Astyanax mexicanus: one gene and its partners. The protein of the gene in region 1 interacts with the protein of each later gene in a pairwise test. Links are inferred from orthologs where the notes say so. Each region holds a gene or a part of one and is shown in the gene's direction. Other genes may lie near its edges. The genes, in order: vacuolar protein sorting-associated protein 52 homolog, golga1, fam161a and atp6v1d.

Region 1 (8,221 bases):
TATTTAAAAATTATTAGCCCACCTAACAAAACAGGCAGTGCCAAAAAAAGTTATAAGTACCTTAATAAATAAAATACACTTCCAATACTAAAAGAGGTCTATATAGATAGCTGTAAATATTACACTGTACTTTAAAAGCATTAATATTTCATTAGCATTACAAGGAGCAGAACATTATTATATTAGATCAAAATATCCTTTAGAGTCTGAAATGTCAAATAAAATAAAATACAAGCATAAACAGATATGGTAAAAACAGTGGCTACACCATATGATTCCTATGAAGAGACAAACATTTATATTAATACACATAAAAATAACCCCAAATCCACATTAGCCTAAACAGCTCAGTAGCAATTTTAATGCTAAGGCTAATGCTAATAGCCCCACCAAAAGTACCAATCTACACATTACCTCCCTGTAGTTTACTCAGTAATTATGTCTGTAAATGCCTCTACATGCTCTTCCACCGGCCTCAGTCTCCTTAAATAACTAAACATAATAATAATATTAATTATAATACAGCTAGAATAATACCAGTACTGAATCACTACAATATAAAACCTGCAGCCCCACACTCTTCAGCATTATCCAATATTAACCCAGAAATATACACACACACACACACACACTATACACACACACACTATACACACACACACTATACACACACATACTATACACACACACACTATACACACACACACACACACACTATACACACACACACTATACACACACACACTATACACACACATACTATACACACACACACTATACACACACACACACACACACTATACACACACACACTATACACACACACACTATACACACACATACTATACACACACACACTATACACACACACACACACACACACTATACACACACACACTATACACACACACACTATACACACACATACTATACACACACACACTATACACACACACACTATACACACACATACTATACACACACACACTATACACACACACACACACACACTATACACACACACACACTATACACACACACACACACACACACACACACTATACACACACACACTATACACACACATACTATACACACACACACTATACACACACACACACACACACTATACACACACATACTATACACACACACACTATACACACACACACTATACACACACATACTATACACACACACACTATACACACACACACACACACACTATACACACACACACACTATACACACACACACACACACACACACACACTATACACACACACACTATACACACACATACTATACACACACACACTATACACACACACACACACACACTATACACACACACACACTATACACACACACACACACACACACACACACTATACACACACACACTATACACACACATACTATACACACACACACTATACACACACACACACACACACTATACACACACACACACACTATACACACACACACACACACTATACACACACACACACTATACACACACACACACACACACACACACACACACACACTATACACACACACACTATACACACACATACTATACACACACACACTATACACACACACACACACACTTTACACACACACACACACTATACACACACTATACACACACACACACACATACTATACACACACATACTATACACACACACACTATACACACACACACACTATACACACACACTTTACACACACACACACACACTATACACACACTATACACACACACACACACATACTATACACACACATACTATACACACACACACACTATACACACACACACACACACACACTATACACACACACACTTTACACACACACACACACACACACACTATATACACACATACTATACACACACACACACACTATACACACACACACACACTATACACACACATACTATACACACACATACTATACACACACACACACACTATACACACACACACACACACTTTACACACACACACACTATACACACACACACACTATACACACACATACTATACACACACACACTATACACACACACACACTATACACACACACACACTTTACACACACACACACTATACACACACACACACTATACACACACATACTATACACACACATACTATACACACACATACTATACACACACATACTATACACACACACACACTATACACACACACACTATACACACAAACACACACACACACTATACACACACATACTATACACACACATACTATACACACACACACACTATACACACACACACACTATACACACACACACACACTATACACACACACACACACACTTTACACACACACACACTATACACACACACACACTATACACACACACACACTATACACACACATACTATACACACACATACTATACACACACATACTATACACACACACACACTATACACACACACACTATACACACAAACACACACACACACTATACACACACATACTATACACACACATACTATACACACACACACACTATACACACACACACACTATACACACACACACACTATACACACACACACACACATACCTTCCTACAATTGCGTATATGTGGGGACCGGGTAAAAGCCCCGGTGAACTGAGGACCATAGTTTCTGCAGTAGTTAGAGAGCAGCAGTTCGAGTGTTTAGCCTCTAGATGTCGTCCAGATGCGGGTCATCACTTCAAACTGAGACTTAACCAATCAGCTGCAGAGTTAGCAAAAAAGTTTTTCACCACAGGAGTGAGGACATGAGCGGTTACTAGGCAGAATATGCAAATACCTTATTATGAATCTGCGCATAAACCTCAGCACCGCCCTCAGCGGTGCAAATATTTTTACAATAGAAATACACTCTGAAAATATCCTAACCACCGAATACCTTTAGAGTTCTGGTTTAGAGTGATTATTAAATACTGGACTTTATCTGCACTTTATTTGCGCGGGTCAGCGGTTAGCATAGCCGCTAGCGCTTCACTAGGCCATTACGCCGAGAAGAAGAAGCCCGCCTACAAGTCTGTCTGACGAATAGCGACCGAATATCTACAGGTTCCATCCAATCCGGTTCTAGAAATGGTCTCAGTGAACGTCTGATCTGCAGAAACAGCGTTTATGATAGGCTAAATCCTCCGTCCGTTAAAGCACGGCGCTTTACCCGCGTTGGACCGGAGCGCGTTCAAAATTCCCCCGCGAGCCCGCGGCGGGATAATAATAATACACATTAACACTGACCCCAGTTAAACCAGTTCACCAACACCACCGTGGCCAGGTATTAGACCAATCAAACACGTGGCCTGCACTGCTTTTGGGAAACGTACCCCAGGATGGTTAGACTTTTGTGTTGTTCAGAATGTATATTATTTGTTTAATGCCCAAGCTAAACTTACTTAATCTGTGTGTGTTTCAGATTCAACTATCCTGCCAGTAGAGAGAGGATGAAGATGAAGAACCACTTAAAAGACTTTTCATTCTTGTATTTTGTGGGGAATTTATTTTATTTATTTATTTGGTAGCATATTTTATTTACATCAGTAATGTATATATGTTGCCCTTCATGTTTAATGCTGTCAGTAAAAGATAATGTATAATAATAAGGATCACGTGTTTAAATATTTATGCTAGAAAAGGGAATTTTGAGGTGAAATGGTAAGGAAGGAATTCATTAACATTTTGGTATTTATCTTTGAAACTTTATGATATTTGTTTTGTTGCATACGCAAATGTTATTAATATACTTCATGAATATTAAACAAGCTGTTTATATTTATTATTAAATATTTCATATTTGAGGAAATATTAATTTTAAGTTTTATTTACAGTCAGTGCTTATTAAATAGGACAGTTTGGGGGTTTATTTATTAATAAGAGTGAGGGGATTTTAATGAGGGGATTTTAATGAAATTAATTAGGGTAAAGCTCTGTAAAGTGTGCCGCTGGTAGAGAGGGGTGAGAGGTGAAAGGGCGTCAGAGGTAAGATGGTGGATGTAGTGCGTGTCACTCCCCGATCTGTACCCCCTGCCTGCGCACTGCAAACTGAGTGAGATGAGCAGGGGCACAGATCGGGTAGGTAATGCCAAGGTGTACTTCCGCCCACACTGTCGCAAACAGCTCGTACACTGTGGTGTCAAAATTAAGGATTTTAAGTTTTACAGAGCTGTGCAGAGTACATTTTCGTTAAATTCAGCATTCACGCCATCCTCCAAGTAAGTAAGTAAGTAAGTAAGTAAGCTTTATTTATAAAGCACTCTTTACACAGCTTCCACTGCCCAAAGTGCTGTACACAAAATGTCTAATAACTACACATACATACAACCACAACGAAGGAATGGGCAAGGAAAGTGTGTGTGTGTGTGTGTGTGTGTGTGTGTGTGTGTGTGTGTGTGTGTGTGTGTGTGTGTGTGTTGAGAGAGATATGGGTTCGCTCTCATGCTTTTTCTGAGAGTAAAATAAACTGATATTTTGATGAATGTGTTGTACCTGTTATTTATAATAATTTGCTGTGTATTTTAAGAATAAAAAGAATTTTTAAATGTGAAGTAATTTACAGACTTGGTATATGTAACAAAAAATAAATAAAAACACAGCAGGCTCACACATTTTAACAGATTATTTTCGATTTTTAATTATTTTAAACACCTATCTGTCTATCTAGAATTCAGAAAACGGAAGTTAAGCTTGATCAGCGATCTCACAGCGCCGACAACTGTTGACAGCCGTGGCTGCCCGATCTGCGCCCCCTGCTCAGTGTGCAGTGCGCATGCGCGGCACAAATCGGGCAGGGGGTACAGATCGGGGAGTGACACGGGGTGGTAAGTTGTAGGTTTTTTATGTGAGTTGTAGTTTTTAATGTGGGATTTGTAGTTTTTTATACGTTGAGTTGTAGATTTTTTCATTGTGAAATGTAGTTTTTTTATAACTGTTGAAGTTATAGTTGTAGTTGTTTTTAACGGGAGTTGTAGTTTTTTTATAGAAGTTGCAGGTTTTTTACGGTGAGTTGTAGTGTTTCTGGGAGTTGTAGTTTTCAGTGTGTCAGTAGTAATGGCGGAGGTGTTGGTCTCCGGCGGGGCTGCGGCTGATTTAACCCCGGCGGGCGGAACCGGGAGCGCCGCTATGGCTTATCTGCAGGAGGAGGTACCGGCTGGTTAATGTTAGCGGGGGGTTTCGGGTCGGTACCGCGCTGTGGGCGGGTGTTCGGGGGTTCGTGGGATCGGTACCGGAGTGCTGACGGGGTTCTGGCGGCGGTTTGGTCTGAGCTGGGCTTCAGTACAGCGGGTTTATAACTGATACTGATCTGTATTACTGTTATAAACTCAGTTAATAACCCTACTTATTATTGATTATTGATTTATAGCGTTTATTCCGCTGTAACAGAGCTGTTATAGCGAATCAATCTATTACACTGCATCATTAGCCTAGCTGTGTTTTGGCCTACAGACGCCCTTCATAATAAAAGCCCTCATAATATAAGGCATCATAATTTCTCTGTATCCCATTTATGTTATTAGATTAACCATGGAGACAATAGATTCATATTTATTTGTCTGCTCCAGACAGTCCTAATCTATTGGCAAAACTGAAAAATACAGAAATAAACAAGCTGTGTGTGTATTTGCACATCTATGTCAGCAATGGGCGCAACCAAATAAACTGAATAATGATTTCCACTAGTGGTGGGCGATATGGCCCTAAAATAATATCATGATATTTCAACAATACACTACTGCCAAAAAATGAAAATTAAATGTTATTATTGCATGTAATATGATATGTGATTATATAACTGAGATATTAAAAAATACAATAAATTTTCATTAGATTTGTAACAGAAGTCAGTGATCATGATACTAATAATATTAATGCACTCCAAATATCTTCATATATCCAGGATTAAAGTAAAAGAAATCTCTAGTCTCTAGTAGATATATAGTGGGAAATAAGAACAGTGTTATTTTTTCTTTTGATAAAGACAGTATAAAAGTAGAACCCTGGTGTGATAATTAGGGGTGGGTGATATGGCGCCATATTTCAGGATATAATATCATAGTTCACAATGGTGGCGATATTATTGGGTACGATACGATGCAGTATCTGGTTTAATGAGCTGATGTACTGAGTTTTGTTGTTTTTATTCTGACTGTATCAGAAGCCGGACTCTGATCTGGTTCCAGCTCTGAATCTGGGGGATCTGGATATAACCACTGATGAGTTCATCCTGGATGAGGTGGACAGTAAGTAGCTGCTTATCCAGCTGTTTTACAGTAAAACTACTTTTAAATCCCAGATCAAGGGTGTTGTGCTGAAATTCGACTCCCCTTGGTGATGTGCAGAAACGTGAGTCTGTATCTACTGTAACTGTAGCTTATTTATCATAATAATAATAAAATTATAAACTTTATTCATAAAGCACCTTTCATACATTAAGGAACATAAGGATATGGGGTGGTGATCACCCTGACCTATAGATAGATAGATAGAGAGATAGAGAGATAGATAGATAGATACTTACTTTATTTATCCTGAAGGAAATTTAGGCATCCAGCAGCAACAACACAATACAATAAGAAACATACTCAGACAAATCAAATCAAAACACAAGAATAGAAAATATATAAGACTATAAAAAACCTAACTATGCAAGGTAAGGATCTATCTGTAAACGGAGCAGTGCAGTAGATGTTGCTAATGGTCATTGTTAATTAAATAATTAACAGAGTAAAGTGCAATGTGCAATGACATCGATTACGAAAGTGACTGTTGTGACATAGAAATATAATATAATAAATTTGCATACGTTAGAAGACAGTTCTAAAAAGAGAATGTGAAAATGTGAATACCCAATCATGAGTAAGGTATACTTTAATGTAAGCAAGGTTGGGGAAGTGTTAGTGTAAATAATTAAGTGGTTGAGTAATAATGTTCATGTGGTGTGACTGGGTTAAACTCAGTCGGCAGCAGCATCCCGTCCCCGATGGGAGGAGTTAAAGAGTCTGATGGCTCTGGGAATGAAGGATTTTCTGAGTCTGTCTGTTGTGCAGCTCTGTGACAGCAGTCTGCCACTGAACACACTCCTCTGCTTCATGATGGTGGTGTGAAGTGGGTGACTATCATTGTTCATGATAGAAAGCAGTTCATCCAAAGTCCTTCTCTCAGCTATTGTAACCAGAGAGTCCAGCTCCATTCCAACCACTGCCCCGCCCCTCCTGACCAGCTCGTTCAACCGCAATGCATCTCTCCTCTTCATGTTGCCTCCATAACTATAAATATATAACATAACTATATAACTGAAACTCTTGTGGCTGAATGCAGTTAAATCCTCACAGCAGTGTTTCACCTCCAGAATCAAGTAGACATTCTTCTCTGGACAGTAGAAACAGGATAAACTCGTTTTTAGTATGCATGATTTCAGATAGATAAATGGATGATGGATGGATGGATGGATGGATGGATGGGTGGGTAGATGTTTAAATAAATGGATACACGGATGGATGGATAGACTGATGGATGGATTGATGGAAGGATAAATTGGTGGATACATTTATGGATCCATAGAGGCATAGATGGGTGGATGGATTTATGGATGAATGGGTGGGTGGATGGATAAACGGATGGATACATAGATGGATGGATAAATTAATCGATGGGTGGATGGATCAATTGGTGGATGAATTTATGGATCCATAGAGGGATGGATACACGGATGGATTTATGGATAGACAGACAGACAGATATATAGATAGACAGTCAGACAGACAGACAGTGTGTGATGTTGAGTCTCTGGTGTTAATGTTGGTGTAATAAACCTGTATGTGTTTATTTGTGATCAGTTCATATTCAGGCTAATCTGGAGGATGAACTGGTGCAGGAGGCTCTGAAAACGGTGAGATTATTTATTATGTATTGATTATGTTTGATGATGTATTATTGTGATTATTGATCTATTGGTAAATGTGTTGTATTGATTGTGGGCGGGATCTGTGCAGGGGGTGGATCTGAGACAGTACTCTAAACAGGTGGAGGCGGAGCTACAGCGTATTGAACAGGCCTCCATCAAAGACTGTATCCTTATCAGATCATTATAACCCCTTATCATTTACATCGACCAATCACAACACCAGGACCAGCTCATTCCTTATTCCTACACCCGTTATTCTAA
Region 2 (7,404 bases), on another chromosome or scaffold:
ACAATAGAAATAAAGACTATGACATAGTAAGTTGCAGAAAGAACTGCTTTTTATGAATGCTTTATAAGTGGTAATCATTTTTTTTATTCTTTCATCAAACAGTCATCATTTATATAAAAAACAATTAAAATAACTCAAGATTTTGTATCAGTATATTTTTTACCAATTATATGTAAGTTTCTCACTTTATCTTCAAATATTTCCGTTTTATTCCCATTAACTCAAGTTAATAGCCATAATAAAATGTCAAACAAATTTACAACCCTAATTCTTACTTACAAAATGATAGCATACAAATAATTATTTTAATATACACTGAGTTTTAACAACAAATAAAATTTAATATTTTAAATGTCATCGTGTGTTATGTGTCTTATGAATGGTGTTTACTGGACAAACTCCAACTGAGCTGTTTTGTAACCAAAGGCAAATTTCCATTTCAGGCTAATGCAATGATAAACTTACTTATTGACTATTTGATGCTTTTTATATGCTTATGTCACTTATTTGCCAAACGGTATAATCACTAGCTGAGTAAAACATTTTGCAGGTTTCTATTTTAGGACATTTCTGTTTAGTTAAATAAAGTGTTCCTTCCATTATTGTTATATCAAAGGAATGGTTTTATAGGAACATATCCTACTGCAAGCTGTCCCATTCTCTTCCAGCTTCCAGCAGCTTCAAATGTACAAATGCATGGTAATCATATTTCTGTGCTCTAAACTAACCCAGCTGTGGGGTTTTATGGCTGTGGTTTAAAGTTGATGATTTATGAGAAGGACATATGAGTTTGAATATGTTATTTTAAGTGGTTGTGTTGGTGGTTGTGGTTTTTACCCTGAGGCCTCAATAACCTCAGCTGTTGGGTTAAATCATTGTGTATTCAGTGTACAGTTTTCAGGCGCCATCTGGTGGTTGACATAGTATCTACTTTAGAGTGCAGCGCTTAGGCCAGTGTTTTTTTTTTGCTTATATCACTGTCTATTCCACTGCCTGGTAAAAAAAAAAAAGTCTCCACCTGGATTTAACTAAACAAATGATGTGGTGTTGCTGAATTTGATCAGGTGTAGGTTCAGCAACAGTATGTGCTGAAGGAATGAGGACAGATGACTACCTGAATATACTGAATATAGACCAGATCACTCCATAAATGGATTTTTTCTTCCCTAATGGCACGGGCATATTCCAAGATGACAATGTCAGGATTCATGGGGCTGGAATTGTGAAATAGTGCAGAGTTCAGGGAGCATGAGATCATCATTTTTTTACACTTGGATTGTTCATCACAGAGTCCAGACCTTAACCATATTGAGAATCTTTGGGATGTGCTGGAGAAGGCTTTGTGCAGTGGTCAGACTCCACCATCATTAATGCAAGAAATTAATGCAACACTGGATTGAAATTAATCTTGTGACATTGCAGAAGCTTATCAAAACAATGCCATGATGAATGTGTGCCACAACAAAAGCTAAAGGCGGTCCAACAAAATATTAGAGTGTGTGATCTTTTTTTTTTGGTGGCAACCAAATCTTTGATGGTCAAGGTGGTTAAAAAGCTGATCATTCATGTAAAAACACACTATATTGCTGGTATGATAACTGATTAATCATTCTTATGTTAGATTAGAATCTGCTAAGGCTTGGTTATGCTGATCATCAGCTTGGGCTTGCTGGTCATGTAGAGCTAAGTTAGCCAATTAGAAAGATGTCCTGTGGTATCTGGTCCTGGTAGCTGATATCTGACATCAGCAGATCCATAGTCCATAGTCTGGATCTGCTGATATGGAACCAGTTTATCAATGCTATTCACTTTACCTGTCAGTGGTTTAATGTTATGATTGATTTATGCAATTACAAATCAATCATATTAACTTGTGGCCTAAAGGAAAATGTCACTAAGGTGGTGGTTGGTTTTACAGTCGTGGCTTGCCATCTAATGGTCCCAAATGATTATAAGAACAGCATTAATACAGAATTTAAGTTGTTTTAGGATATTTCACAATTATAAACCAGATTTGCTGCACTAAATGCAACATCTATGGTAGAACTATGGCCCTGAAAGGAGATGCTTCCTGATCTGTTTTCTACAAAATACAGTATAATATCATAATCTTCTATTTCGGTGTGCGCTGTGTTTTCAGCTCTGCTGTTCTGACTCATTGTGTTCACTGTAGGAACGGCTGCAGAAACCTGATTTGCATCTGATAATAGAGAGTAAGCTCAGATTGTCCAGATTTGTCTGGACTGATTTTGAGCACTGTGAGCTCTCGTTACTAATTACTGCTCTGATCAGAACACTATATAGAAAATGTAAGTTCATGTGGGGAATGTTAAAGCCTTTCTCAGATCTATATTACTGCTCGTGTTTTTAGACATCTGATACAGTATATACTATAATACAGTGTACACAATAATATGCACTTTATATCATCAAGCTTGTTTTGAATATATGTGCATAGATCTGGTATACATATGTAAGTATTACATAATTATGTAATATATATAATTATGTATATAATACACATATTTGTATATTTATATTTTACATAAATATTTTAAATTAACATATAAGATGTTTTAATTATAGCATACTTTAGATATGTAGGAAAATATATATATCCCTTGTTTGTTGTAAAAGGACCAATAGAAATGCTCCAATATTACATTGACTTCCACTGAAAATTAGACACATTTTGTCTTGTACTGTAAGTTGACATTTTGGAGGTACAATGTTTTTTATGTAATAGTGGTGACCCAGATAGCAAAAGGACATCGGAATTCAATGTTCATTTTTCTATCGCTAATACGTTAAAACAATGTTGATCTCTGACCACAGAATTTATTTATTTTTTGCACATCGATTTTACATTGATTCAACATTATTTTTAAAGTTATGTTTTTTTACTTACATTAAATATGTATACAATATTTATTTTCTATTTGTATAGCATGCCCTGTGATTGGTAGGAAGCACCTTTCACCTAAAAGCAAGGTGAGTGTAGAAGATCTTAGCCCAACCTTTCAAAACCTTCTAAATCAATGTCAAAATTTTAACATTAACTGATACCTATTAGGCAATGTTAAATAAAGATTAATTTAAGGATATCGTTCCATAATCAACCTTAATATACATATAATGCAACCAGTAAACTTTTATTCTTTGCTATCAGGGAATGTTTCATAACATACTGTTAAACATGTGTGTTACATATATATGAAACACAACTGATTGTTTAGATCATTTGATTTTGATAATGGCTTATGTTAACAGTATGTATTTTTTTGCAATTTTAATAACAGGGCTTAGTTAGGGCTTGTCCCCAATTGGTAGGTGATGTAAAGTTTACTTTTCATTAATAAAGGTTGTAGGCATTAAATATTGGATAGTTGTTTAGTCTTATTATTGAGTTTTATTGAGTTTGTTTAGTCTGCATTTTGAATTGTAGTTGGCAAAATAGCAAAGCTCATAAAGCTATTTAGAAATGCATTACAATTTGAGGCTGTTAAAATGTTAACTGTTATATTAACAAAAACATATATCAAATACATTTAAAAACGATCAATTTCAAATGAGCTGTCATCTATATCACACTTATTAAAGCAATACATTACAAACATATTATGTGTATATAGAGGGACTCCATGTTTTCTGTGGAGTATATATCATATTGTTTAAATAATTGCAGTGGGAGCGTTTTCACCGTTGTCAATGTTTTCTGCCTAACGTCTCAGAAACGTTTTCTCAGTTCTCAATTTCTCAGTGAAACACGTGGAACTGAATGACTTTCTATGTAGGGCACACTCAATGCAATGCTCATTAAACTGTCCCGTATCGTTTAAATGTTTAATACGCGTGTAGCGGGATGAATTATGCAGAGTGTGTACTGTAACAAGACCAGTGGCCAGCAGGCAACAAGTGCGCATGACTAAAGAACAAGGGCACGAGCTGACTCTGCGAGACATTACAAACCTTATCAAAACGATCTGAGGATAAAGGTGAATGAGCTATGGTGACCCACTGCACATGGAATAAGCTGACTTTTGGAGTAAACGGCATTTTTATCTAGGAATTAGAAATCTAGTCTACGACTAATAGTGCACAAATAACAAGTGTGCACTAAGTAGTGTACGACAGCAGCGCGTCCTGTGCCCAGCAGGCAGTGAGGCGACTCTCTTGCCCCGCCTCTTTCTAATATTCACCAATCAGAGCAGACAGTGGCCCTGGGCACGTCACGCCGAAAGTGGTGACGTGGTGAAGTTGGTTAGCAAATACAGCCGAGACAGCAGCGACGAGTAAATGAGAATTCGAGCTTCTCTGCGGCTCCGAACGAGATAAAATAACCTCTAACTGACGGACTATGGATGTTAGTTGTGTTTCTGTTGAATGGAGTTAAAGGTAAAGGGTTTGGGCTCTGTGTGTGTGATACGGAGATGCTAACTGAAGCCAATAAAGCAATAAGGACGCTAACCTAGCTTTAGCTTAGCTAGCTAGCATTAGCTTAACCGAGCAGCTGAGATGGTCTGACGACCTTAATAATCCTTCTAATAAACCTGACAACCTTTTATTTTATCTCTCTTAAAGTTATTTAAGCCTTCTTTGTCGCCTAACAAATGAATTAAGCTGTATATCACGACTGTTCTATAGTTAAAGCAATAAGCAGGTAGGTTAGCTACTTAGCTAACTAGCATTGTGAGCTATTGGTTTCTCTGAGTATGTCTAGGTTGGGTTAATACAGCACAGTCAGTCTCAGTCAGGTTTGTGTTTGTCTGCTGTTTTTATCAGTTCAGTGCCAAACTGCCTTCAGTCTGTCTCATTTATAAATCACTGGAGTCAGATTTGAGCTGACCTGCCTGCTGTCACGTCAAGTAAACATTATGTTGGCCTTTGTTAAGCCTTACATTTGGCAAGGCAAGTTGCTGAATAAGCTGTAATCAACAATTTGTAAATTAAAGGTGTTCTTCTGCAATATTGTCAGTTTTGCTGCATATTAGAAGTGTTATGTACAGTGTTAGAAAGAATTTGACACTTATAGAGTCCCTAAGGTGTCAAAAGTAATATTTAGAGATGTAAACACTTGCATAAATTTAACAAATCGTTCAGTTCAGTTTAGAGGGAATGCTTTAGTTAAACTGGGAAAACAAGTATTAAATCAATTCTCAATTTTTTTAGGGAAGCAATGATGTGGGAAATATGGGCAAATATCTGATTTGTCATTGTACAGATATATAACTTACAGAGAGACTAGACACCCTGGTATAACTTTATAACTTATAACTACCAGCGTTGCTTGCTACAGTTATAATATCAGCAATTATCAGTTTGTAATGTCAGGCAATAACAATATAATTCAGATATCATCATGCACCCCTAGTTTCTTAATTTAGGAATTTAGGAATGATAATATAAATTTGATAGGATAGTTCAGGAAAAAAGATTGTTTTTATTTCCTTTATTTTGTACTAATACCTTTTTGGGTTTGTGGCTCTGTTTCAAATTAAATTTTATTATTTTATATGTTTTCAGGTAATTATTAGTTAAAAATTTCATCTTGCATCTCTAATCGAAATTAAGTGATGTTGATTCACACTATATTGCCACATTTATTTGCTCACCTGCAATGCATTTGTTGATGCAAGGCTTTGATGGAGCAGTGCGACCATGGAAACTAATTCTATTAGGCTCTCTATCCTCTACTGTTCTTAAGCAAATTGGAAGGCAACATGGATTTTGGAGGTCTGTAGTGATTGACTCTGGTGGAGAAAGTTGGTGACCTCTACACACTATGCTTCTCAGTGTCTGCTGACTCCACTCTGTCATTTTATGTTGGCTTTCTCAGTCATTTCCCATTTGTTGTAATATTACTTAAATTTCACTGTGGAACACTTAGTTGTGAATTTTTTTTATGACCGGACTTGTTGCTTAGGTGCTGCATCCTAACACAGTACTATGCTGGAGTTCACTGAGTGACCCATTTTTTCACTAATGTTTGTAGAAGTAGTCTGCCTGCCTAGGTGCTTGATTTTATACACCTGCGATCATGGAAGTGATTGGTTTGAGTTCAGTAATTTAAATAGGTCAGCAAATACTTTTGGCAATATAGTGTAAAAGCTTACATTCACATTTAGATTTCTTGGTTTAATGTGACAAAAATCTGTTTTCTAGGCTGTATGGGACATGCTAAATCCAATTGCACAGTTGTAAATTCAGTGCATATGAAGTTTATATATATTGTGTCTTGCAGAAGAGAAAATCTGACAACAGACAGCGATGAAACAGCTGCATCCTGCATGTGAAGCACCTTAAAGAACGTTGATCTGTGGGAGAAGCCCAGAAGGATTGTTTTTTTTTGGACTTGCACACAGCAGTAATGTTTGCGAAGCTAAAGAAGAAGATAGCAGAGGAGGCGGCTACCGGTCCTCGCACTGGACGCATGCCACGATCCATGAGCAAAGAGTCCATCACCTCGGTGGGAGCAGACTCTGGGGATGACTTTGTGAGTAAATCTCCTCTTTATCTCTTTCTTCCTTTCCCTCTCCCATGTCTTTTAGTCTTCCCTCTCCCATGTCTTTTAGTCCCTTAACTGCAAAAGCACAGTAATTTTAGAACTGTGAGTTATCAGTTCAGACAGACTCAATAATTTACAACTAATACTTAAAAAGTTTCAATATTGTCACATAAAAACCTTCCAAAATAGCCTGTACTGCAGAAAGAAAAAAACCCTTTTAACTTCAAAATTAAGTCTATTTAAAAAAGATTACAAGTCGTTTTGGACTTTCTGACATAATGTAAATAAAACTGGCAGATTATATCAAACGGTATGGATACACCAAATATTTAGCAACTAAAATGATTTGGCAAAAATACAGATTCCATTTTGGCTGAATAAGTGTAAAGACAAAATCATTTCTAATCAACAATTATGTTTTTGATGACGCAATCAAATGCAGCCAACATGTTTTTGATCTTTGGCTAAATGTTTGGTTCATTTGGTTCATTCTCATTGATTTGTGTGTGATGGCAACAAAATAAATCTTTCTTACTGTATTCTTTAAATGTAGATAATGTGTGGTTAACCCCCATATAAATCCATGCAGTAAAACAGTGCTGGACACTGTATGACAATATGACACTAAATCAATATCACAAGCAGTTGGATAATTTTACCTTTAACAATTCATGTACGAAAGACATAAATAGCTTTTTCTCTGGTTACAAGCTGATTGAGTTGCTAATTTTGGCTTAGTGTTTGAGCTCTCTATGTTGAAGGTTAAGGGGGCAGTAAATATGGGTGTAAGGGCTGGTGGCCGACCGAGGCACCCTCCGGGGCATTGGAGGGCGCGCCAGGCCAGCGCCGAGGGTTAATTGGCTAATTGCCAACACCTGCTTTCAACACCTTATAAGCAG
Region 3 (7,552 bases), on another chromosome or scaffold:
GGCACTCCAAAGAATTTACCCAAAGATATATATATATATATATATAGTTAATACCATAGAAAGTTAAGATTTTCATTAGTGTTAGTTAATTATTTTTGAAACAAGGGTATCAAAGCATACAATTTTCATCTTAAAATAAACTACTAAAAGTACTAAATGGCCAAGTACACCATTTCCTTTTAAATAAGCATCTTTTCTGAAATAAACAACAATCTCTTATTAATCATGATTATTAATTCTTTTTTTTTTTTAATGCTTGTGTTTTCCTGTATATTTGGCAGCGATACAGTAATAATAGTGTATTTTAGTTTAGGCCTGGAAAACGTACTGTTTTAATATCTATTAATATCTATTTAATATATATCTACAATGTCTCATTCTCCTAAACCACAGATCCATACTGTGTTTATAAAAATTAATTGCATCTTCCCATTGATATTTTCTCACACCCCTGATGTTCAGTAGTGTATCTGTGATGGTCTTGAGTATTAAAAGTCTATTAAACTCCTACGCCTGTCTGTGTTGTGTGTGTGGTGCTGCAGGGCTCTGATCGCGGGCGGTGGTGCTCCTGAGATCGAGCTGGCTCTGCGGCTGGCGGAGTTCGCCCGCTCTCTGGGTGGTATGGAGGCTTACTGTGTGCGTGCGTACGCTGACGCCCTGGAGGTCATCCCCTCCACGCTGGCCGAGAACGCCGGCCTCAACCCCATCTCCACCGTCACCGAGCTCCGCAACCGACATGCCCAGGGAGAGAAGACCGCCGGCATCAACGTCCGCAAGGTGGGCCTGAGTTAATACAGTAAACCAGGGTTCTTACGGTCATGAAAATCCTGGAAACGTCAAGGAATTTAAAAATAGTCATTTCTAGGGCTGGAGAAATTTTAGAAAAATAAAAATAACCAGAAAATTTTGGAAAAGTTATAGAAATTTGCTCTACAAATCTTTTCAAGTTTTAGTTTATTGATGGAGAAAATCTATTTAAAAAATCTGTTAAAAAATCCCTTAAATCAGTAATTTAGCCTCTAAACAATGGAGCTCTCAGGATCTGACACACATTTTATTATTAAAGATTGTGTGTCAACATTTTATCAGAATCATTTTAGACCTACTAAATTGTATCATTTTAATTATAGTTTTAGTTGACTTTTAGTTTTATTTGTCCATGTCTGCACTGATGTTTTTAAAATCGTATAGGCATGAAAGTTTGCAATGAAGGCCATGAAAAGTCATGAAAAAAAATCAAGTTAATTGGTTAAAACGTGTATAAACCCTGATAAACAGATGTTAGATCAAGTCCTGTTTTACTCTTTCATTGATTAAAACATAAACAATAAAAAAATATATAAAAGCAATTCTGGAGTGTGATACCTTTATCAAACTAAATTTAAATACTTTTTAGGGGTTTAAATGTACAATGAAAGGCATGATCCAGTACTGATGTTCTGATCTGAGGTGTCATGTGGTTCACCACCATGTTTAATAGTCTTGGATATACAAAAATATCCATGGATGAACGGATATACAATTTACTGTATTTGTCAGTATGTGTACATGGGTGAATAAAAATACTAGTTGTTAATTAGTTTAAAAAGTTAAGGGTAAAATCACACAAACTTTTTATATTTTTGTAATGTACATGTATATTGATTTACCGTGTTCATGCTTGTGTTCGTAATTGTGAATTGCTTACCGAGAGACATAAAAAGACAAAAATATGCTTGTTGGAAATTCTTCATGCTGATCTAACACGGTTTCTCGCTCTCTCAGGGTGGAATCTCTAATATTTTGGAGGAGTTGGTGGTTCAGCCGCTGCTGGTCTCGATCAGTGCCCTCACCCTCGCCACAGAAACGGTCCGCAGCATCCTCAAGATCGACGATGTTGTAAGTAGCAATATAAATTCTGAATATTTCATTGCATTACTTTTAGCAGACTCTTTTATCCAAAGCAAATTAATTGTTGTACCTTTAGCAACAGAAGATGTAGGCCCAATCCCATTTCACTTACCACTACCACTTACCCCTACCCCTTGTTTTTGAGTGTAACCCTTTCCCTTTAAAAACAGAGTTCCTAAGAATTAGGATAACCCTTTAAATCACCCGATGCTTCATCAGGAATGCTAAAGTTCAGTAACCTAGCTGCTAACTAGCTCATTTTTGGGCTTTATTGTATATCTTCAGAAAAAGGGGAATATGGTTCAGAAATTAATTATTATTATTGTCCATTTCTTAATTCCTCTGGGGAGATGAATTTAGCTTTGATTAGCCTTTATCTTCCTTTTTTTTATCTTTCTTTTATTTATCTTCCTGCTGGCTGTTGCACCATGTAAGGTGGAACGGGAAAGTTAGCTAGCTAGCTGCCATCTGAGACAAACTACTAGCGATATTTTTATGCATGTTATAAATAATTTGGCCATAAAACATTGAAACTACACTTTAAGCTCTGGTAATATAGTGCTAATCTTCACTTTTCACTGGTAAAATATTTACATCTCTGGGTTTATTACCAGTGATTCTCCTATCCCTCGGTTTGAAGTGTGCATCTTAAAAATCTCGATTTTGAAGGGCTAACCTCCCCCTCCAGCCTAACAAGAATCTGGACACCCCCACCTAAATGGGCTTGGGCCCAAGGCAAAAACGTTTTAGGAGACCATAGTGGGATAGAGATGAGGAAATGAGCATAATTTTGTTAGAGGTGTTTGCAGAGTAAGTGCTCTTTGAAGAGCTTGGTCTTTAGGAAGTTCTTGAAGGTAGTGAGAGATGCTCCTACTCTGGGAGTGGAAGGTAGTTTTTAGGGGTGTTAGGAGAGTAACTGCTGTTTAAAAAGCTCATATACGTATTTGTTTTTTTTTTCTATCTTTTTCCACAGGTAAACACCCGATAAGGTGTTTGCTCGTTTGCACTGAAGGGAAATGGAGCACTCCTTTTGTCTGGCGCGCTGCAGAAGGATGTGGGGACCTCACAAACACTTCGCTCAGACCAACTGTTGAAGAGCTGTCTGTAGATGTTACGTTGCGTAATTTAATAAAGCCTTTTTTGTTGGAAACTTCAGCCTGTCTCTCTGGCTTTCATTTGCACCTTAACAACATATATCCATTTTTTACATACATTTTGGAAGGCTTGCAAATGATATTTATGGAAAAGGATAAATGACCAGAATTCATTCAATTTTGTTTTTAGTGTGACATTTAGCACAATGCTATACTGGTTTGGAACTGCTGTTGGTGTTGTACAGGTTATTAGGGATAATCCCTTTAGTTAATTCTGTCAGCAGGACTCTGGCCAAACATATTAAATCAGGTTTGTTTATCAGGTTTGCTGGTGTTTGATTTCTGTGATGTTAGAAAAAAATTATCAAGTATTTGCTTATCGAATATCTTATTCTTTATTCTTTTTGTTGATTATCTGAAAAAAACTGTTCTTAACAGTATTTAAAAAAAAATCAAGCTCTTCATATTTATACAGCACTAGTCAAAAGGTTGTAGATTAATATTAAAAACATGAAAAAGATAGGGGACACAAGCATTTAGCATTTATATATTTTTGCAGCTCCTGCCAAACATAAGTTCCTTAGATTTTACCAATTTGAAAACCTCGAAAATAATGGATGATGGAAGATGGATGATCACAAGCCATCAACCCAGACTGATCTGCTTGAATTTTTTGCAGCAGGAGTAAAGCAGCATAAAGTAATGCAAAAGCAGTGTGTGAGACTGGTGGAGGAGAACATGATGCCAAGATGCATGAAAACTATGATTTAAAAAACAGGGTTATTCCACCAAATATTGATTTCTGAACTTTATAAATATGAACTTGTTTTCTTTGCATTATTTGAGGTCTGAAAGCCCTGCATCTTTTGTATTGTTATTTCAGCCATTTCTCATTTTCTGTAAATAAATGCTCTAAATGACTAAAATATTTTTATTTGTAATTTGGGAGAAATGTCTGTAGTTTATAGAATAAAACAACAATGTTCATTTTACTAAAACATAAACCTATAAATAGCAAAATATTTTATCTGTTTTATAGCTATATATGTATATATAAATAATTGGAATTTAGAACGTTTTGTCCACATATATTGTCATTTTGTATAAGTATTATATTGTATTATATGTAAAATATGTATTAAAGATGCCTTTTCTTTAGGAACTATTTTCCCTCACAGCACTCTGTAGTATCTGTATATCCCTCCGCCACATGAAAATACGTTGTGGTTTACGGAGCGGGCATGGCTTGGACTTTACATGGGCGTGGCCTGCAGAAGCTGGTAGTCAGTGAGGGGGGGGCGGTGCTTGTTGCCTGGTGACCGCTGCAGGGCGTCTCTTCCCGGGCTGAGCTGGAGCGGAGGAGCCGCTGACGGAGCCGGAGGTCGGAGCGGGGAGGAGCGGAGCCGGATCCCCGGGGCAGGGGCAGCATGGAACGCTCTCACCGCGCGAACGTGCTGGTGACCTCGTGTCTGAAGACCCCCGTGGACCCCCACACTAAAGCCCCCGTGGCTCTGTACGAGCGGGAGAACGCAGCCCGCCGCCCGGATAACCGACACTATGAGAAAGAGGCGAGTAAACTTTAATTAATCTAACTATAGAGCTAACTTAAAATACCCGAAATTCAGTGTTTTTACATCATTTTAAAATAATCTACATTGTAGATTAATACTAAACACTCATGGGATTATTTAATTTAGAAAAAAAGTGTTAAACAAACCAGAATATGTTTTATATTTTAGATTCTTCAAAGTAGCACCTCTTTCTTAGATGACAGTATGAACATTTTTGCATTTTGCAAGTTAATTCGTTGAATTTCTTGCCTCTTTTGTTTGAGAGCATCAGCTGTAGTGAAGAGGTAGAGTTACAGGTATACAGTGAATAATAGCTCTATTAGAGTAATGTTCTAATCCAGATTATGAGAAGAACTACTCAACTAAGTAAAGAAAAAAATGAATCTAAGAAGAAATGATGGTCAGTCAATCTGAAAAAAAGAATTTCAAGAACTTTAAAAGTATCCTCAAGTGCAGTCAATGCAAAAAACATCAAAACCTTTGTAATGATGGAACTGGTACTCATCAGGACCACCACAGAAAAGGAGGAGCAAGAGTTTTCTTTGCTGTACAAAAACCATAAAACACTTCGTATGATGGAAGTGGTACTCATCAGGACCGCCACAGGAAAGGAAGAGCAAAATTTTCAGAGTTACCAGCCTCAGAAACCGCAAAAAGTTAACAGCTCCCAGATACAGAGTATTTTGGTTTGTTTAACACTTTTAAGTTACTACATGATTCCTTATATGTTCCTTCATAGTCTGGACAAAAAACTAAAAACACTCAATTTAAGGTGTGTCCAAAACTTTGGGTAGTACTGCATGAGTATTTCTTTAATTAAGAGTTCATAGTGTTTTTAGAAGTGTGCATTGTGCATTGCTATGCTATCTTGACGCTACAAAATTTGTGTAATCAACAGTTTTGAAATGAAAATAATATTATTTATGGTAATCTACTGTCCAAACATAAAAGTTATTGTGACAATAAATCCATGTCATAAAGGAAATCAGACTATTATTTCTGCCCTTTTTTTGCAATATACAGTGATTAAACTGCAGTTTAGCCTTTTAATAAAGAATGGCTATTAATATTCCCAAATTACATATCCACATAGGGCCTGTATGGGTAGAGAGCACTTAAAAATGATGAGTTTCTTTGATTTTACCAAATTGAAAACCTCTGGAATATAATTAAGAGGAAGATGGATGATCACAAGCCATCAAACCAAACTGAACTGCTTGATTTTTTGCACCAGGAGTAAAGCAGCATAAAGTTAGCCAAAAGCAGTGTGTAAGACTGGTGGTGGAGGAGAGAACATGATGCCAAGATGCATGAAAAAAAACTGTGATTAAAAAACAGGATTATTCCATTAAATGTTGATTATTTCTGAATTCTTAAAACGTTATAAATATGAACGTGTTTTCTTTGCATTGTTTGAAGTCTGAAAGCTCTGCATCTTCTTTTGGTTATTTCAGCCATTTCTCATTTTCTGCAAATAAATAAATGCTCTAAATGACGATATTTCTATTTGGAATTTGGGAGAAATGGTATACAAATCCACTCAGAGCCCACATAACAAATGATCAATAAAGGAATAAATAATATACTAGAGATGAGCAACTGTTAGCTTAACGTACCTGCCCTTTGTTCCAGTTCCAGTCTCCTTCACTCCATCCCTCATCCACAATTTAATCCTTTCTAATACATATTAACTCTAGAAACAGATACTAAGCTATTAAATGTTCTTTATTTTTGCAAACACTTATTTTATTCCCATATAAAGCTTTATTTATTCTCCTAAACTCAGGCTGTGGTGAATAAGGATGGCCTTTATCACCTGTTAGATGTGAAGCTATTGTTTGGTGGCTTGTCTTTACTGAAGGACACTCAATCTGCCATCTGCTGCTCCCAGTAAACAGACCAGCAGATAATGAGCTTACCATCTCCTCAGAGCCTGTGCACTATAATACAGCACACGCCTCACACACCAGACCAGAGCACATTCACTAAAACACACTGCAAACTGTATATACATTACTGTGTAAATGTTTAAAATGAAATAAAAAAAACAGTACAAGTTTACGTATGCAGTAAAACACAAATATTAAAATACTATAATACAAAGATCACTCTTGTTGTTTATATAGTGTTCATAATAGGGATGTTCCATATTCTGTTATATTCTATTTTTATCTGCAATAATTAAGTTTAAAAGCTGTCTATATTGTATTAAATTAGCTATTTACTGTGATGATTTATTGGTATTTTTGTGTAATTGTTAACAGGGCTGCATGGTTGTTGTTTTAGAATTGCCATCCCAATGTGTGTAATGTCACATAATGCTATTACTCACTTTTATTTCCCATGAAAAATCTACCTGTTATAATTAATTTTACTTTATTTGTGGATTCACAGAGTGCATTATTAATAAAATGGCATGCTGGATCATAGACTTCTAGCAAAATCTGTTGTAAATTTGTGTGTATACGCTTAATATCCTTTATACAGTATATCACAGATCAGCAAAAATCACCCAAATTGTTAATGTTTGCATACTTTTTTGCACAGTTTTGTGTGGTAGAGTTTTTGGAAATTTACTGTTATTAACAAAATAGACAAATGCTTACTCTTTTTATTTCTACTGGATGTTTACAATTGTTCTATTTATACAAAAACAAACTTGTCAAACATACATTTTTGCTGTAGTAGTATAATCTTGAAATTACATATATTTCAGTGTTTATTTTGTCATATTAACAAGAATATTATTATAGAGGTCACTGTCGCCCACCCCCCGTTTACACTGATATAAGAACTCATGATATTAATCATTAAGAAATATATAAAATATATACTTTTATGGAGATGTGGATTTCATTTTCCAGCAGGACTTGGCACACTGCCCACACTGGTAAAAGTTCCAATTGGTCTTATATAATATTCAAATTTTCTGAGACACTGATTGTTGTTTTTTTATTGGCTGTAAGCCATAATCATCAATAAAAAAATAAATAAACG
Region 4 (8,091 bases), on another chromosome or scaffold:
TGTTTCCATATTTTAGAGCAGGGATGGGCAACTGGCGGCCCGGGGGCCGCACACGGCCCTCGTCATCACTCAGTGCGGCCCGCGAATAGATCAAAAATAATTTCATAATTTCATAATTTAAAAAAAAAAACAAAAAAAAAACGTAATTCTACTTTTGACCGCTAGAGGGCGCTGCCAAACAACCACGAAAATTGACATTGACATCCAGTCCATTGTGAGCCAGCAGGCCAAACCACAGCTCTCTCATTAGCTTCAATAAATGTTGGGCCTCTGTGGTCTAGTTTTCTGCTATTATTGAATGAGCTATTTGCAATCAGTTTTTAAATCTTTTTTGTTCTTTGTTATAAATGAGTTCAAATGCCTTTTGCACATTTATAAGCAAATGTTTTGTCCTTGTTGCTTATGAAGGACTTGTTATAATGAACTTATTTTACACAGAGGAACTACTGTATTTGCAATCGGTTTTTTAAGCAAACTTCTTTTTTGCACTTTTTTTAAGCAAACGGTTTGTCTTTTGCCGTATTAAAATGCATTAATATGCAGAAAATAGTTGTTGATAAATGTTGGTGCTGTAAACATACAGATATAAGTTCATATAAAATTTGTTCTTATTGAAAATCATTTGTAGTGTTTTTCATATTCAATTATTTGAAGTGCGAGGTCATGTGGCCCTCCAATGGTCATGCTGAAAAAAATGTGGCCCTCTCCATCATGGAAGTTGCCCATCCCTGTTTTAGAGCATGAACAACATATTCACTGGCCAATAACATACCTCATTGCTACAATAGTAATATGAGTGCTGGACAATACAACTTTAATAACCATCTTAATAACTCTAAATATCAGTTTTATATGATATTTAAAGACTTTTTTTAATGATGCACTGTATTTATCCCAATGTTTTGACACAGACAAAATTTATCCGCAGTGGTAGATTCTGAAAAAAATCTATTCAAATACTCTTTCATGCACAGTACAGTGATATTTATTCAGTTTTCCTGCACATCATCCAAATAACATTTTTTACAATGCTTGCAATGAAACAGTTAAATGTGTGTTTTTAAGGCACCAACAGCATCCTTTATTATGCTTATTAAAGCATACATGATGAGTGAATGTATCACAATACAATAAAATCAATAATATAAGTTAATCATTATTCACATACACTTTCAATGTCATTATGAACACTGACATTGAAGTTGAATAATTATGCTAATTGCCCCATGGTTAGCAATGGCTTAGTAATACTAATTGTTACACTGATCTGTTGATCAGGAATGATGTGGGATTTTACATGATTTTGACACTGAAATTACTACTGGGTTTGGAACCCAAGCCCATTTGAGTTTTAAGATTTTAAAATCATTTCTTACTTAATTCACAAGTTACCAGGATTACTACTAAAAAAACACGGCTTTACGTCCCAGGCAAATCTTCAGATGTTTATCCTGTGAAACTGGGTTTACGAGTCTGATAACCCAAATAAGCCCATAGTGATGTGTGTGTCACAGACCATTTAAAAGATGAGTTAAGTCCCTTACAGTACTTTCTCAATCATTTTATCTCATGAAGAACCTCTGGCATATACTGATCATTCTGAAAGCATCACAGGACAGTGTGTGGAAGTGTGTTTGTTTATCTGGACTTATTTACAGAACGCAGAAGTGCTGCTGCTGGAGATAAACCTCTCTTATTTAAAATGTGTGTTTTTGCTTTTACAGCTCCACTTTAACCATACAAGTAATGAAATTGTTGTTGTGTCATTTAAGTTACATCATGGTTTTAATCTTAAAATATTTACAGTCATGCACCCACAGTAATAATAATAAAAAAAGAAAACTAAACAAGAATGAGCTTCTTACTGAATTTATCTGATTGGTATCAATATTCAGAAATGGGTCTGGGTTCTATAATGGGTTAATCATAAATGAATTGGAGAAATGGGCTGGAAATTACTGACTAATAATGTAGTGTGAACTTTAATGAATAATTGTCTCACTAGTGCTAATTACACTGACTAGTAGATCAGGAATGATGTGGAAAAACATGATTTTGACGTTGGAATTGGTACTGCATTTTGAGTTTCAAGACCTGAAAATACTTTCTCACTTAATTCACAAGCTAGCAGGATAAATACCTACAACCTGGCGTTAGTATCCAGGCAAATCCTCAGATGATAATCCTGTGAAACTGGGTTTAATGGTCTAATAATAAGATATTACAATCAATAGAGCCTAGTTAACTAAATAACCCTCATACAGGGTGGAGCTGCTGTTCAGTATTAAACCAGAGTTAAACTACAGAACCGGTTCAGTCGAGTCTAGTTAGATGGGTTAGTTAGTCCAGCTGTACTGTATTCTGTCTCTGAAGCTGGTGATATGTATAGGTATCTAATGATACCCATAGATCTGTTATTGTATCAGTGGCTGAGCTGAGCTGCACCACTCAGTCTCATTGAGCCCATGCGGTTCAGCAGATAGCTCGGCTAGATAACACATTTCTGCTTCTAGATAAATAAATACTGAATAAAACCGGCCCGCCGCGAGTTCCAGAGAGTGGTGTTACCTGAAGCGAGTCGTCCCCGGGAGCGCGGTTAGTCTAGAGTCTGTTTCTGGGCGGTAATTGTAAATTTTGATGAGAAAAGGCTCCGTAAATCAGGAGTTCGCCATGGATCCACAGCACAGAGAGAGAGTTACATCATGGCGCCGCGCGAAGTAACTTCAACATAAAAGTCCTTAATAAAAGTTTTCATTTTTTAAATATTTGTGTTTTTATATTAATAAATAAAAATAAACAGTTACATACAAACACTAATAAAATAATAATAAAAATAATCACAATTTGAAATATTACATCAAATATCAGATTACAGGATCCTCATGTGGTTTATACACCACATCCTTACTAGTTACAGCATGGACAACATATCCACTGGCCAATTTCACACCTAATTGCTATAAAAGTAATACAAATTAAATGCTGGACAAAACGTCCATATCTCTATCACAACAAATCTTAATATCACTTTATATAAAATTCTGAACAGTATGAATGCCACTGCCTGAAGTATATAGAATCACACAGTTATAGGTGTAAAATATTATATGATATTTTTATTATACACTGTATTTATCGCAATGTTTTGACACACAGACAAAATGCATCAGCAGAGGTCGATTCTTAAAATCATCTATTCCAATACTCTTTCATGCAGAGGACAGTGATTTTTATTTAGTTTTTTTTTCCTGCACATCATGCAAATAAACAATATTTTTACAATGTTAATAATGAAACACAATTAAATTGGTGTTTTTAAGGTACCAGCGGTAATAAAATAACCTGAAGGAAAAAAAATATATATTTTTACGAGGAACGCTACAAATTTGACAAATAAATGCAACGTGACCCAGCTAGCTAGCTAGGTTTTACAGTAAATGTATAATCATTAGTTCTATTAACAGTCAGTATAAATAAAATCAATTAAGAAATTTCTATTAAAAAACACCGCGTTTGTCGGGCCACCAGAGGGCGCTCCAGAGCGAGTTCAAAATGAATGGGCTTATATGGAGCAATTTAACAGTTAACGTTATAGTTTATAAATGTTTAATCACCGTTATACTGAAAACTGAAACAATATCTAACATTTTTCAAACGAAGACAAGGATATCAAATACTTAAAACTGTAGATATAAACCTTTTAAAACTGTCTCTGACTCTGACTGTAACTCCAGCATCAGCCCACCAACCAGTCAGAAGACAGTAACAGTAATGCTAGCGCATTAACTGCCTAAAACCAGTGTACTGTAGATAAATGGACAGGTATACATATAGCAAAATGCATCTTTATACTTTCATAAATTAAAAGAATACCCTGCATTAGTTACTTTTTTGTTTTATTTATAGATTTTCTTTGAAAGACAAAATTAGAAGAAACAAGTCATTTTAATCCTACTGTTTCCAAAGTAAACTTAATTTTTTATCCTTTTTCAACTCTGGATCTAATAAAACATATATTGGTCAATCTCAGGCAGCTTTATTTGATTTTCTACAAGGAAGATACATTTAATAAGTATGTTTAAAAGAAGCAAGTGCACTAATTACTTTGATTTTAATTAAATGGTTGACTGCATGTTTAAAGTTTAAACAATAGGCCCTTTTAATCCTGCCCCCTAAAGCAATATATACGTAGATCCATATCACTAAAACTTTCTCTGTTTTGCATGCCCTTAATGAATATGCCAAGGAGGGCAGCGCCTTTCTCTCTTTCTCCCTCTCTTTTACACACCTGATTGGGGAAAAAAACTGTGTTGCCTGCGTGCACGTTTGTGTTCACGCCGTTATTGATATGCGGTAGACTCCCGCCACTTTCAGAAGACTTGGGAAGTCTGTACACAAAACATAGCATAAAGATGTATATAAAATGCTCATATACATAAACATATATAATATGCATCACCTGTATCTATGAATAACACAGTCACATGCATATGTATCCATGCATAATTATATCTTCACAAAATAATAACACAAAAAAATGTCATGAAGAAATGTGACCTACACACATGATAAGTGAACACTTTATATGTTTTGTATTGTTTATAACCGGTGACTGTACCAAATTGTTAATAGCCTAGACAAATTAAACATCACTATAAGTTGTTTTTCATTCATATTATTTACTATTTTTAATTGAAGGTTTTAGCAATTTAGCTCAATTCACTTCTATTCATTTTGGACTCACTCGCGGGCTCCCTCTAGCGGTGGTTACAGTGGTTCACTGACAAATAACAGAGGCGATATACAGGAAGTGTGCAGTTCCTCCATAAGCCGCCTCTGCCCTTACAGCTATCGGTTACACACACTTCAAAATAAAAGTTTAGGTAAAACTGTACTGTTTTAAATATATATTATATATATATTATGAATCGATCAATCTGTGTTAATAAGAAAGCTTACTGCTACATTAAATCGTAAAATAAACCCAAGCTATGTTTTAATAATGATAATGATCATAGGTTGTGTTTAGTGTTTTGCTGAAGGCCGCTGGTCGTGAGTCACATGACCCGCTGTGAGCTGTAATGTGATTTTCAGTGAAACAGTGAAGCCGAGCGCCGCGTTCCTGCGAATAAAACCTACATGCGAACAGAACAGGCCACAGGTCGAGCAGAAAACCCCGCTTTATAAACACACAGACCCGCCGGGATCAGGAGGAAAACGACGAGATGTCGGGCAAAGACCGGATCGACATTTTCCCTTCGAGGATGTGAGTAAAGCGAGAGAGAGCTGTGCTGTGCTGTTAGAGATACAGACTACAGGACACGAATTAATCAACATAACATAACCTTTAATTTACTGTTTAGACTCCAATATACTCTAATATCTAATAATTAAACTATAATAACTGTGCTGAATGTTATTAATGCTGGGGTTGATCTAAATATAAAACTGACCATTGATTAACGTTACACACACATTATTATTATTTTTGTATTATTTTACTACACTGTAGCAGTCAACTAGCCATATAAATAGAATAAAGGACCAGTCTGCAGTGTGTTTATTCTACAGTGGTATTCTAAGGACCACCAGCAAGGTCATTATAAGACTCTCTGAGGGTAATTGTGCAAATAAAAAATATTTTTGTGCAGATTAAATACGTGTATACAGTCCCTCTAAAGGGTGTGTTAAAATATTGTATTTTCAGAATTTAGACTATAAGAACAGTGTTTGAAATAACTCCCCACAGAAAAACAGAAGTGTATTATTCAGGATCATGTGATGTGAGGCTCTGGCCATAGAGGAACATCCACAGGGGGGAAAGGGTTTGAAGCTGAAGAGCTTAAAGGGTAGTTGTAGTTGTCATTATTGTGATAACCAATATTATTGTCATTTTAAAACCATTTAAATGACACTGACATAATGATACTAGAATAGCATAACGAAGCATTCATATTCTTTTGAAGACAATACAATTGTAAGTAGTCATAGTTTGGGGTAAAAAAAAAAAAAAAGGTCACACACACTAATATTTTGTTGGACCGCCTTTAGCTTTGATTGCGGCACACGTTCACTGTGGCATTTTTGCATTAATCTTCTGCAATGTCACAAGATTTATTTCCATCCAGTGTTGCATTAATTTTTCTTCAAGATCTTTTATTGATGTATTGATGATGGTATCGTCTGACCGCTGCTCAAAGTCTTCTCCAGCACATCCCAAAGATTCTCAATGAGGTTCAGATCTGGACTCTGGAATCCATGTGTAAAAATAATGAGCTCATGATTCCTGAATCACACTTTCACAATTCCAGAACAGTGAATCCTGACATTGTCATCTTGGAATATGGCCGTGTCATCAGGGAAGAAAAAAACGATTGATGGAATAAGCTGGTCTATATTCAGTATATTCAGGTAGTCAGCTGACCTCGTTCTTTCAGCACAAACTGTTGCTAAACCTAAACCTGACCAACTGCAGCATCAACCCCACATCATTTTTTTTGGCCTGGCAGTGTATTTACTTTTTTAGTTACCTAACACAGTCCACAGTGTGTATGTGGTGTCACTGTTTTTGAAGCATTGGTCATTGAAGCATGGAAACTGGCAAATATACTGTTTACTGTGAACAAACATACAAATAAGCACAATATACAATATCACTATTATAAAATATTATTGAGGTCATGTCCATTTACTGTAAGATAAGTTAATAATGTAATTATTGTGACAAGTCTAGTCAGTAGGGTTGTAGTGGACCTGATACTACAAGTCCAGTACCATGTGCAGAACATTCTCATTAATATTAGTTTTTTTTTATTTGTATTTACTACATTGTAGCTTAAATGTCAATTTATATATAAAATAAACAGGGTGAAAAAGAGTTTGTTTTGGTTTAAAATTGTTTATTGTAGAGAAGTGCATTGATGCTGATTTCGTGGTGGTGTTAGGAACTGGGGGGTAACCATGTGAATACAGAAAATATAGTCCTTTTATTTACTGTCTGCAACCACCAGTGATTCTGTGCACGTCCTCTTAGCTGTATATGTAATGTTAAAGATGGAAATGGAGTATTTTGTAGGGATTAATTTGAGATCACCAAGTGTATATTTACTGCAACACAGTCCAATAAACTCTTTAACTGTTGATAAACAGTGTCTAGACATCAAATGACGAATTCATAATAATTTCTGAGGGGGAGCTTTTAAACACATAAAACTCTTTAAGCATTTTGTTCCATTCACCACCACTGTGAACAAGTCTGACTAAGCAAGTTCCTCTTAAACTCATGAACACAAAAGCAAATGACTGTTGTTGCACACTGTATTTTTAATTGTATAATTAATGACTGTTTGTGTCGATGGTTTTAGGGCTCAGACCATTATGAAGGCTCGACTGAAAGGAGCTCAGACAGGGAGGAACCTGCTGAAGAAAAAAGCTGACGCCCTTTCCATGCGTTTCCGGCAGATTCTCAGGAAGATCATTGAGGTAGAAACATGAGAAAATAAATATTTTAAATGCTTATATTAATGAGTATGTCATGCTGTAAACATGTAATAATGTGAGAAAAAATGTAAATAGCTGTAAATATTTTTTCATTGCTTACCCTGTTTCCCTTTGTTTCTTAGACCAAGACGCTGATGGGAGAAGTGATGAGAGAAGCTGCTTTTTCTTTAGCTGAAGCCAAATTTGCTGCTGGTGACTTTAGGTATGAGCAGCTTGCGCTTATATTTAATGTTAATGATAATGTGTTTGTGAAAGTAAGTTTGACTCCTGAGCTCATGGATGTGTGTTTGTCTCAGCACTACGGTTATCCAGAATGTGAACAAGGCCCAGGTCAAGGTTCGAGCCAAAAAGGACAATGTTGCAGGTCTGAATAAACTTCATTTAAATTTGCTTCACTGAGAAATTGCCAAGGAATTATTAAGTTCAAACCTCAACTAGTTTTAGTTTTGTTAACTTAAATGTTTTTCAGCAGATTTTAAAATGTTTGTATTATTTTTTTATGCATGAATAACGGCCCTAACTGTATTTTGCTTCATTTGCCCCCCAGGTGTGACTCTGCCTGTGTTTGAGCACTACCAGGAGGGAGGAGAC

The links.
Region 2: the proteins of vacuolar protein sorting-associated protein 52 homolog (region 1) and golga1 interact in binary tests that used the Homo sapiens proteins (3 or more experiments, as listed by UniProt). The two-hybrid records come from large-scale screens. The link is inferred for Astyanax mexicanus from reciprocal best matches to the Homo sapiens genes VPS52 and GOLGA1.
Region 3: the proteins of vacuolar protein sorting-associated protein 52 homolog (region 1) and fam161a interact in binary tests that used the Homo sapiens proteins (3 or more experiments, as listed by UniProt). The link is inferred for Astyanax mexicanus from reciprocal best matches to the Homo sapiens genes VPS52 and FAM161A.
Region 4: the proteins of vacuolar protein sorting-associated protein 52 homolog (region 1) and atp6v1d interact in binary tests that used the Homo sapiens proteins (3 or more experiments, as listed by UniProt). The two-hybrid records come from large-scale screens. The link is inferred for Astyanax mexicanus from reciprocal best matches to the Homo sapiens genes VPS52 and ATP6V1D.

Annotation. Positions count from the first base shown.
Region 1 is NW_026040044.1:1,818,945-1,827,165, reverse strand, and holds the start of vacuolar protein sorting-associated protein 52 homolog, read left to right. Parts: upstream 1-5,082; 5' UTR 5,083-5,106; coding exon 5,107-5,199; intron 5,200-6,211; coding exon 6,212-6,296; intron 6,297-7,892; coding exon 7,893-7,945; intron 7,946-8,048; coding exon 8,049-8,124; intron 8,125-8,221. UniProt on the Homo sapiens protein: Acts as a component of the GARP complex that is involved in retrograde transport from early and late endosomes to the trans-Golgi network (TGN).
Region 2 is NC_064419.1:30,653,420-30,660,823, reverse strand, and holds the start of golga1 (golgin subfamily A member 1), read left to right. Parts: upstream 1-4,244; 5' UTR 4,245-4,361; coding exon 4,362-4,395; intron 4,396-6,162; exon of another isoform or gene 6,163-6,362; coding exon 6,363-6,493; intron 6,494-7,404. UniProt on the Homo sapiens protein: Involved in vesicular trafficking at the Golgi apparatus level. Involved in endosome-to-Golgi trafficking. Mechanistically, captures transport vesicles arriving from endosomes via the protein TBC1D23.
Region 3 is NC_064428.1:33,715,241-33,722,792, forward strand, and holds the start of fam161a (protein FAM161A), read left to right. Parts: upstream 1-4,241; 5' UTR 4,242-4,411; coding exon 4,412-4,552; intron 4,553-7,552. Other genes in the region: cct4 (T-complex protein 1 subunit delta), read left to right, coding at 543-777, 1,765-1,878, 2,864-2,878. UniProt on the Homo sapiens protein: Involved in ciliogenesis.
Region 4 is NC_064408.1:85,782,324-85,790,414, reverse strand, and holds the start of atp6v1d (V-type proton ATPase subunit D), read left to right. Parts: upstream 1-5,053; 5' UTR 5,054-5,225; coding exon 5,226-5,266; intron 5,267-7,364; coding exon 7,365-7,482; intron 7,483-7,622; coding exon 7,623-7,702; intron 7,703-7,796; coding exon 7,797-7,864; intron 7,865-8,047; coding exon 8,048-8,091. UniProt on the Homo sapiens protein: Subunit of the V1 complex of vacuolar(H+)-ATPase (V-ATPase), a multisubunit enzyme composed of a peripheral complex (V1) that hydrolyzes ATP and a membrane integral complex (V0) that translocates protons.